2 linked regions of the Drosophila melanogaster genome follow. The protein of the gene in region 2 interacts with the protein of the main gene of each other region in a pairwise test. Each region holds a gene or a part of one and is shown on either strand. Other genes may lie near its edges. The genes, in order: DCX-EMAP and MYPT-75D.

The links.
Region 1: the proteins of MYPT-75D (region 2) and DCX-EMAP interact in a two-hybrid assay, tested with the Drosophila melanogaster proteins (one large-scale study listed by BioGRID).

The regions. Positions count from the first base shown.
Region 1 is NT_037436.4:14,901,729-14,907,017, reverse strand, and holds the start of DCX-EMAP (Doublecortin-domain-containing echinoderm-microtubule-associated protein), read right to left. Parts: upstream 3,214-5,289; 5' UTR 2,782-3,213; coding exon 2,038-2,781; intron 1-2,037.
Region 2 is NT_037436.4:18,623,970-18,629,263, reverse strand, and holds the start of MYPT-75D (myosin phosphatase targeting subunit 75D), read right to left. Parts: upstream 3,306-5,294; 5' UTR 3,188-3,305; exon of another isoform or gene 2,973-3,187; intron 2,400-2,972; 5' UTR 2,233-2,399; intron 1-2,232. Other genes in the region: bora (aurora borealis), read right to left, coding at 4,800-5,294.

The sequences.
Region 1 (5,289 bases), 3.7 Mb from region 2:
ACTTTAAATGTATACCATTCTTGACCACAGCTACATCAAGTTATAGTTATTCTTCATAAATAGTCAATTTTCAGAAATAAATTGAACAAAACCGCGAATTGCGGTTTATTTTGGCCTTGGGTTTTTATTGACCATATTTTTTGGTGAAAACCGCAAACTCTCAGTTCAATCATTTTATGTCGGTGATTTTTTCAAAAGTTTTTTAATGTTGCAAAATCAGGTTACATACTCAGTACTTTAAATACAATATTTCAAGCGCAGTAGTTAAAAAATGAAATGACACTATTTTATTAAACGCTCAGAATAAGATTAAACTGTTGCCGAAGATCTTTGAGGAAAAGAAAAAACAAAAAATTCAAATATTTCGACACTTCTCTCATGTTCTACCAAGAACAAAAAATCCGAATATATATGTATGAGTTCTGTCAATCTTGACCGAAAAAAAAAATATCCTTGGTTGAAGTATTTTCGCAAGTGCACTCTGCATGCTCCATGCTGCGCTTTTGTTTGCTAGCCGCGGGCCAGGCGCAATTGCCTTTGCCGTAGCGAGTTGCAGCTGAAGTTGAGGCCGGAGTCGCAGTCGGTACTTGGTGTCCCGTAGTGGAGCCCGGAGGAGAAGCCCCAACCTGGTGGATGGCGGGTGTGGGGTCTTGGGTATCCTGGCGGGATGGAATGGCTGCCTTTTTTCTTTGTCTTGGGCACTGGCACATCCTGACTTTGGCTCACGCTTCGACTGCATTAGACGCATAGTCGGGGATGGCTTTTGACTTGGTCGTTAGCGATTATGGTTTGCCGCAGCCTCTCCAGCCAATCCCACAAAAACACCCCAACTCCCAAAGCCACTCCCACTCAGCCTTATCATCATCAGCCACCCACAACGTTTGTCAAACGGAAGGTGGAAACTTTTTCAATAGTTGTTCCGGAACATGTTGGATGTGCGGACGCTTGATTGCTGCACCCGCATGATGTCTGCGATTTGTGTGGATTTTTTTTTGTTTTTGGCCAACTGCCTCGGCCAGATGTAAAAAGAGAAGACTTTTAAGCCAACTGTTTGGCGAGTATCTGATTGAAATTTATGCGAAAGTCAACCCTTCAAATGGGTTGCCTAAAAAAATGTCCTTGGGTGACGAAATGGTTTTTCGAATTTCATACAATGTTTTTATGACTTTATCCCCTTGTTTCTTATACTTAAGTCTTTTTACATTAATATAATTAACTTGTTTTATAGAATCAAGAAATTAATGTACTATGTAAATAAAAGAAATAATTTTCTCCCTCGAACTTTTGGATGAAAAGTTATCGTTAAATCTGTTACTTTTAATTCGATTCCATCCACCGCTTTCAGTATATTGATGGAACTTATCGATAAACTGCCAGCTGACCATTTCGGCCTAAAGAGTTAATGTCCTTATCCTTTTTTGCTCAACTGAGCTACTCTTAAGAACCACTGTTCTCTTAGCCGTCCCAACTCTCAAGTTAGCCCACTCTCAGTCGACCATAAAGGCTAAGACCTAATTCCCAACTTGCCCTCGTGGCAGGCCAAAAGGCGTGCTAATTGTTGGCATTGTTTCTAGGGCTAGACTCCCACAACAGCGAGAGTGAGTGAATGCGAATGTGTATGTGAATGAGAGCGAGAGAAAACGAAAGTGCTTGCATGCAAAAATGTGGCCCCACCGAACAACTAACCACCCACCCGCTCACTTCACCCATTTCCCCCGCAAGGACCCGCTTTTCCGAAGAAGAGGGAGCAAAACAAAGAAGCCGAAAGGAAAGCGACGCCTTTGATTTTTAGGCCAAGTGACCAAGTTTTCTCACTCCACAGCGCTGACCGCAAAAAAACGCCAAAACCTCGTATATAGTTTTATGTATGTTATGCACACTTACACACACAACCGGCACACTAACTAAAATTATACCAAAATATTCAAATTTATATTGATTTTGCGCCTGACGTGAAAACTCTCACTTAAACTTCAAAATAATGAAAAACTTAGCTGAGCTGAAAGCAGAAATGCATGCAAATAATCTGGTACTAACCTTGAAGGCCTTGAACGAGGATACGACATAGAAGGCTCCATCCTCCAGTTCATCGAGATGATATTTTCGATCTCCGTCCATGGAGAACACATATCGAGCACCCCGTGGCAAGTCCATCTTGGGCGAGATCTTATCGAGAAGATTGTCCAGTGAGGTTACATCCCGTCCGGGACGATAGCGCAGCTCCACACCCGGAAAGAATGGATCCCCATTCCGGTAGAACACCACACGGCGTGCCTTCCAATAGGAGAGATTATTATATCGCGATGCCGCTGCACTTGAAATTTCTGGACGGGATTTAGATCGCACCAGCGGCACCACTGGCGGCTGCTCCGAGTTCTCGCTCATGTTGTCCAGATACCCGGGACTAATGGCGCGACTCTGCCGCCCACTGGTTGCACCAGTGGTCGCACCGTTCCGTTGCTGCCAATAATCCGGCACCTGGCGATCTCCACCAGCCACCTGCTCGCTGGCTGCTAAGTCCTCCTCATCATTATCGTACCGGCTGGTGTTCTGAATCCGGAAGCTGGAGGACACTGGGCGCTTGGGACTCTTCGCAGGACTGCTGCGGTTGCTATCGTTGTTGCCGTTGATGTTGCTGCCGTGCTTGTTAATGTTGCTGCTGCTGCTGTGGATGCCGTTCCCGTTCCCGTTCCCGTTGTGCAGATTATCATCCAAATGGGGCTGCGTCGGTGGCGGCGAAACGTTTCCCTCGAGCGGTGCGTTCGGACTAATTTGTGGCATTGTTTGGCCGCCCAGAACGGAGTCGTTACTGCCAGCTGCCTCTCCACCGCCATCGACCTCATCCTCGCCGGTCTGGGCCTGACTCAAGCTGGCCATATAGTCGTCGTTCTCTTCGTTGGACATTGTCCTGGTGTTGGTACTGTTGCTTGTCCTGCTCCTAAAGCAGTCACGTCAGCTTTCTCTTAAGGAATTGGCTCAACTTGCGTGCTCGGTTTGTTGTGGTCAAACGGAATCGCTAAGGGCAGCGTCGCGTCGACGCAAAGGAAAACTTGGAGCTCCCAAAAGGGGGGCAACTTCTTGGAGGTTTTCTTCGAGCACGCAGTCGCTGGTTGCCCAGCAAAGAACTACGTTGCTGGCCTGGCTAAAGTGGAAAATGTTTGATTAGAAATTTGATTAAGGATTTAATTTAAGTCATTTTAAATAATATTTTTGGAACCAAAAAAAAACATTTTTTTATAAAACATCGGTTCGAACATCGAACGTCACTCTCCTAATATAAGAGGTCTATAAAAGGTTGGAAGTAAATTCTGTTAAGGAATCTATCAGTTATAATATTCGTGATTCAAAATTGTTTATCATGTACCAACTGTGGAGAAACAATGCCAAATCTTCACAGTTCTCTGATAGCCTTTAACATGTCAATAGATTGTAATTATCGAATATATATTCCCATGTAATGTCTTCATTCATAATCCTCAAACACAGCATACATATGTCCTGGTCCTTGTTCCACTCAAGCCTTGCACTTAGAAATATCAACTGTTAACTATATCCTCACCCTCTACGTAATCGATATGCCACGAACTCTCGATGCAATGTGTCCAATGCTCCCATTGCCCAGGGCTCTCCAGAGTTCCGCCCTCTCAGCCTGCCTGCTGCTCGACTCCCCCACTTCACAGGACTCCAAAGGATTCAATGGGCTGTCCGGCGAGCACTTGCCACTGCCTTTGTCCCAGCAAACAGACCAAAGAGCCCCACTCAACCATTCGGCGTGGGCACTACAAACATTCACACTTCTGCGGGGTCGAGGGACAGGGTTCTGGGTTCTGGGTTCAGGGTTCACAGTTCAGGCGGCTCCACTCCTCTCCTCTCCCGCTGGAGAGGCCGAAAATATCGCGTATTATTTGCCCTGCCTTGCCTTGCCTTGCATTTGGCTACCTCACACATCGATGAGGGTACACTCGAAGTCGTATGAAAAAATTCTAAACCATTTTGGGTTTAGGTTCAAGAACTATATTGTGTCCAAAATAAATGCATAAACAATTCTAGTTGTATCTTTATATATATATTCTATATATTATTACTAATATCTAACTAAAAACTCGCACAAAAGGACCCGCAATATCACTTTGCAAATTTGTTATATTTAACATCTGAATACCCCAGAAACAGGATTTTAGATTTAAGGAAAATCATTCTGGCTGTTTTTCCTGATTTTTCCCCAGTGCATCGAGTGTTAAGCACCGAAAAATTGCAGACGGCAGGGAACAAGCCGACGACTCCTGGCTTAAGTGGCATTGGTCTCTTGTGTCTTTGACCACTCTGCACTCACACTCACACACAGTTCACCTACAACCATTCACACACACTTCCACACAAACCGGGATCCAAGTCCTTTTCACTGCATTGGAATTTCGTGTATTTTACAATTGCAACAAAAAATAAATATTTGTGGGCCAAGGGAGCTGGAATTTTCACTGGTGAGCCCTTTTACTTGATTTTTTTTATGGTTTCACCTTTTTATTTGTGGGGTGGCGGCGGGCTTGGGTTTGGATTTACCTGTTTTATGCAAATTTGTTTTTATTGCAACACGTTGCACGTTGCTTCTTCCTTTTGGTCGTCGTATTTATGGCCGTATATTTTTTCGGTTGGGGTAAAAGTGGCGCGGTGGCTTCTTTTGCGGCAATTAGGTTAATGACACTTGGGCCGGCAGTTGTTGCTTTGGGTTATTTATGCACAAACAGTTGTGCCTCTCCACTTGCAACATCAGCAGCATCCACTTCCACTAATTGCCTATCAATCAGCCGCAATTGTCTCCACTTTTGGATCGGTTTTTCGGGGAAAAACGGGAAAAACACTCACTTATCGGATAGCACAAACCCATTTACTTGAATCAAATTTAATGAACTCGAAGGCGAGTTTATTAAAACATCTCTCGCGCTGGCAAGAAAGTTGGCCAAAACAAAAGTGCGAAAGTTTTGCTTACTTTCTGGCATTTACCGATGCACAAGAAGAAATTCCGTGTGGCAACTTTGCCGGTCAAAGTGTTTTTGAAGTGTGTTTCGAGCGGCGCTGCCTGCTGGCTGTTCTGCTGGTTTTCCCGCAGCTTTACCTTCTGCTGCTACTGCTGCCTTTTGTCCACTCTAAATTTCCTTGGCGACGCAGCCAATTTTCTTAGAGAGTGCCTTTCTCTTTCTACCTCCTTTCCTCGAATCGCGAATCGAATTACACGTTCGCCTGTGTGAGTGACTGACTTATGGGGCTAACTGCCCACCGCTTCCCGCCCGC
Region 2 (5,294 bases):
TGTTAACAAGTGTAAGGGATACTCAGTTAAAGGATCTCCACATTAAGGAATTTAAACGCTGAATAAGAAATAAGTAGAATAAATATAAGGACTTAATAAAATGGCACAGCAACAGAAGCTAATCAAGCTGAAATAAATATGGTCTTAGCCCATTAAATCTAGTTTGTATAATTTAAATATAATCCAGTTGAAGCATCGTCACTTTTATCTCTCCTTTGATTTGAAGTGATATTGTTTAATTCATTCACCACTTTTATGGACAACTTTTTCGAGAAATATACTTAATCTCTGACCCCGAATGAGATGATTAAACCTGGAAAATAGTACCGAAAGATTAGGAACGGGAGTGTGGGACTGAATCCTTGACGATTAAAGCGCTTGAAATGCCCACACACCATAAATTAAAGCCAACAAAAGCTGGCGCTGATTAGTTGGCCATCGATGTCAGCCAGGTAAATAACAAAGTTTAACAAATTACGTCAGGCTCGAGTCGAAACGGCCAATAAAAAATTTGCAAATCAATGCAAATGACGGGGCCAGCAACGATCGTTTGTGCGAGGGGCGATTGGGAACCGAGGGGGGGGGGGGGATGGGGTGCTTTGATAGGTGGCGGCACACAAAACCGAAAACAGAATTAATTAAGCAAAGTGTGATGGGAGCGGTGAGGCGGAGGAGGAAAAGGGGGAGGGCCCGAGATTAGCTAAAGATGTCAGTGTGTCACAAGGATGCCGATAAACGAGTTTTTCCCTCTTTCGATTTTGAATATTAGACAAATTGAATTAGTTTTTTTTTTTTTTTTTGCAACCGAAACAGGAAAAACGGGAAAGCTCAGCTAAATGCTGATAAAGAAGTTGAGATGCTCTGCAAAAGTCTGTAATACCCTGTAATATAATAATTAAAATGTTTATAAGGAATTTACTATATCTTAATAAAATTTATAAATAACTTAAATATTTTTCACAACAGGTGCATTTTGTTGCTCTGTATAATATAATATAGTCCGCACTGTTTACGATTTCCGAAAAACCTGCTCAAGTAAATTTTTGTTAATTAGCCCACTTTATAAGTGCCTCGGAAATCGGTTGGTCTTAATTTTATTGATAAAATATGGATTTGTTTTAGACCTGTTCCCCACCACACACTTTCTTTCTATTCATAAATCTTTCAATTCGTCTGTCTAATGAAAGTGCACTCGCAGCAGCATGCAACATGCAACACGGACGGCGGCGGCAACAGTTGCTGCAACAAGTTGCACTTGCATGTGCCACTGTGCAGTGAGGCGTGCAGGTGGGAGCGAGAGGCAGCACGGTGCGAGCGGGATGGCGAGTCAGAATTTTAGTTTAATGATTTGTAACCGGTTTTCGAGGTGGCAACTCCCGTGAGACGGCGGCTGCTGCATTTGCTGCTGCAGGGTTACCTCCGCCGCGCCCCTTCCCCAGCCACCGTGACCACTCCACTGTTTAATTACACTTCTTCCAACAACGAACAACTAAAAAATAATAACAATAGCGGAAGTTATACAAAAGCCGCAGCAGAACCGGCCATTTAATACGGCAAGAAGAATACAAAAAAAAAAAAAAAACGAACAAGGGTTGCGATAAGGCACAAAACTCGTCGACAAAGGGCGAAAAAGAGTGGAACTGCGGGCGCAAAACATGTGACGAAAGCAGTCGCCGGATTCGAGTTAAACAACATTTAACTGTTGTTTACACTCTTGATTGCCCTATCCCGTTCTAACTAGTGCAGAAAGCACTCATACACCAGTGTTACTTGCAGTTTGCAACACTGTACGGTTTATGATCTATCCAGAAAGTTTGAGATCATTAAATATCTTACTTGCAAATAATATTTCCAGTCAGTCCCAATTATAAAATTCCCAATATTAAATAGAAAATACTCCATTTAGACTCTTAGAATCGTGTATATTTTCAATTTGGCACTCTTTAAACCAATTAACAATTACAAGTGTGTAAAATTTAACTGAGAAGAGGTTTTACGGCATCGATCAGCTAAATTCAAGCAAAAATAGCACCATTATAATCGAAAAAAAAAATCAATTAAACAATTTTTTACTTTTTCAAGTTTCTACTTGAAATATTGGTAATGTTTTTGTGACCACTAAAACGAATCGCATGCATACAAGTTAACGAAACGTGTCGTTGCAAACGATACCCAAATAATTTGTCGCCTGCCTTAAAATGCGAAGTCGGCATGAAAATTAAACAGGCTTACCTCGAGTCCGGGTGCGAAAAAAAGGCCTTTAGAGCCATTCAAGTCCAATTGCAAGGCGAGACTTTCCGTTTTTGTTAGTTGGCTTTATTTTTCGATTGCAAAGTTGCTTTCAATCGAGTTGAAACGAATCGGAATCGAGTCGAATTGAAGCGCACAAAAGGCACCGACTGCAAATTGTAAAAAATTGTATTTATTATAGAAATTGACTTGGCGCACACTTTCACGGCACAATTAATTGGCTAGATTTTTCCGCATTTCCCCATCTTGGCCACTCCATCCTCCCCGCTCGGCAAACAGCTGGCCAACTTGTTTGCACACATTTCGCACAGTGGAGTAGAAACTTTCGCTCAAAACGGATGCAGCCAGAAAAAAAGGAGAAGATAGGAGGTGGGTGGGGGAGTTAGGAACTGGTTTCTTGTAACAGGAATTCTTTTTGCAATTTTTCCTTTTTCTTTTTTTGATTTGCTACTTTTTGCCTTTTTAATTTTCCATCAATTTGCACATTTCCGCGCGGCTGCGTTTGCGAATTTAATTTTATTTTATTTCATTTCGTTTATTTTTACAGAGTTTCCTCTGGCGCCCGACTTATTTACGAGTTGTTCTAATTTATTTTGTTGGCCCACAAACAAATATTTTTTTTTTATTATTTATCCCGCTCCGCACTTTCTTTCGGCATTTTTATGGCCCAAAAAGCGATCTGCTTTTTCCTCCTCTCTTTCGCTATTTATAACAGAACTCACGCACGCACACACAAACACCACAGGTGAAAATTAGTGCAGAAATCTCCGCTGATCGTACGTACGAAACATTTCGGTTAAATTGATTTCTTTGTTTGGCGAGCTACCATAATTTGTCGTGACCCAAGCAACGCGAAAAAAGGACCGCAGCTTGGAAAAGTAGCATAAATGTGACAGTATAACAGCCACTCGATTCGATCCCCAAAACAAACAATTACATTTCTGCTGATCGCTTCTCAAATGCCGACAGTTCTTCTCGCGTGCGCACTCAGACACTCAAAAATATTTCCGAGAGCAAGCCACATGCGTTACCGTTGATGTTTGGCGATATACTAAATTTTTTAAACGGTACGCCAACGTCAGCTGTTGAGGTTGCGATAGTTTTGCACAGAAATGAGATAGATATGTCTCGAATATCGAATAGATATCGATTAAAATGTAGATTTGAAAATTCGATATTCTTCAGACAGACTTGTTTAAAAATAATAAAAATAAGTAATTGCTTACAAGGACAGATTTTTTCTAGCATAGTGCCGAAATAGAAAGTAGCTATTATTTTTTTATTTAATATTAAATTGTACGAAGGTGATCTAAGATAGTCTAAAAAGATAGTTCGCACAAGGAAGATTTGGGCTTCTAGAATCTATCTATATAGCAGGACTTTTATGAAAAAACATACAGCAGAGTTAGTACCCGTCTTTGTCCTGACAGATCACCACAATCCACCTCCCCTTCCGCAACCGAAAACATTATTTTTAAAGAACAAATTTGATTAAAACGAGATTTCATTGAGCAAACTCGACAACGGAGCCCAACCCGCTTCCAAATAGATTACTGATAAGTAATGCTGATAAATTTAACTATTAATTAACTTTAATAAAAAATTTTCATAGAATTGACCCAGCACTGAAGCTCTAAAACATCGAACTGCCCGCAACGGACTAGCATTGCCCAGAATATGTATTGCATTGAACTTATATGCAACAGCATCTCCAGTTGTATTCAAATCAATTTTGAATTGACCAGGAGAACAGGAACATTCACTAAAGCGACATCCACAGATTCTCCTGCAGCGCAGTTCGATATGAACTTAGAAGTCGCCCTGGGTTTCGCCAAGTTTATAACACCACGGTCATACATATGTACATAAGTCTTCTTCTAACAGTTTTGGGTGCACTTACCCCGATCATCGATTTCTTTTGAAATAATTCAAACGTCCAAGTTGATATGGATGTGAACCATCTCTGACGTTCTCAAGAGTTCCTATCATCATAGTTCGAAAAGATTGGAAAATTCTTGAAATCTCCTAAAGTATCTTCTTTAAGTTATTACCCTTCATGGTGAATTCTTCCCTTACCTCACCCGAATGTTTCAATCTTACACAGGACAACGCAAACAGAATGTGGAGTCAAAATTGAGCTAACCAACTTCCATGTCCATGACCACTTACAATAGTTCTCCAATGTGCCTCCAATGTGAATTCTGATTTAATGGTAATTTCGTTTTTAAGGCAGCTAGAAAATAACACAACTTCGGAACTTTTGATTACATTAAATATGGCATCGAATGGACTTTTATTAAGTACCCTAAACTAGACAAAGGCATTGAGTTAAGTTTATAAATGACATAAACGCACGACTTAATTCACTATTTGGCAGATTTCTATAAGAACATACAATTACGCATACAAAATATATATAAACGGTGGGTGATCATTGCAGTTGAAAAACAAGTCCTCCTTTCTTTTGGCTGTGAAAAGGAGTTATTGCATAGATTGCCTATAAAATAACATATGTAGTTGCTACCATCTAGAACTGCGAAGGGTAGAGGTCAAGATCGGGTGGAGGGGGTGGAGCAGCAGGCCATGGACACATCCAGCGGGAGATCCTGCGAGAAGGCAAAGGTCGTGCTAGAAGTCTCGTTGAAGCCACTGTCCGCCCGATATAGCGGAATTCTGGCTCCTTGCTGTGGCATCGCAACCGATGGTGGCTCTGCTGGCTGGATGGAGCCCGCACCACCTTGTGTCTGATCCGCCTCCTCCTCCAAATTGGCACTAAAGGACTGCGAGAGATTCTTGCGTTGTGCGGAGCGATGTCTTTTATGTCCGCGCGGAGTATCTGAGTTGGAAGAGCTGCAGTTGAAGCTCACGGTCGATAGTTGCATGGCGTCCGCCTCCTCGTCATCTTCGGATTCAGCCTCCTCTTCCTCCCCCTCAGTTTCCTCGAAAAGCGGCTGATCCCCTGTCTCGATCACAACCTGTCGCGTGCTATTCACACGCAGCCGACGAACTCTCTGATTAATGCTGCAATCGGAATGCTCCAGTCC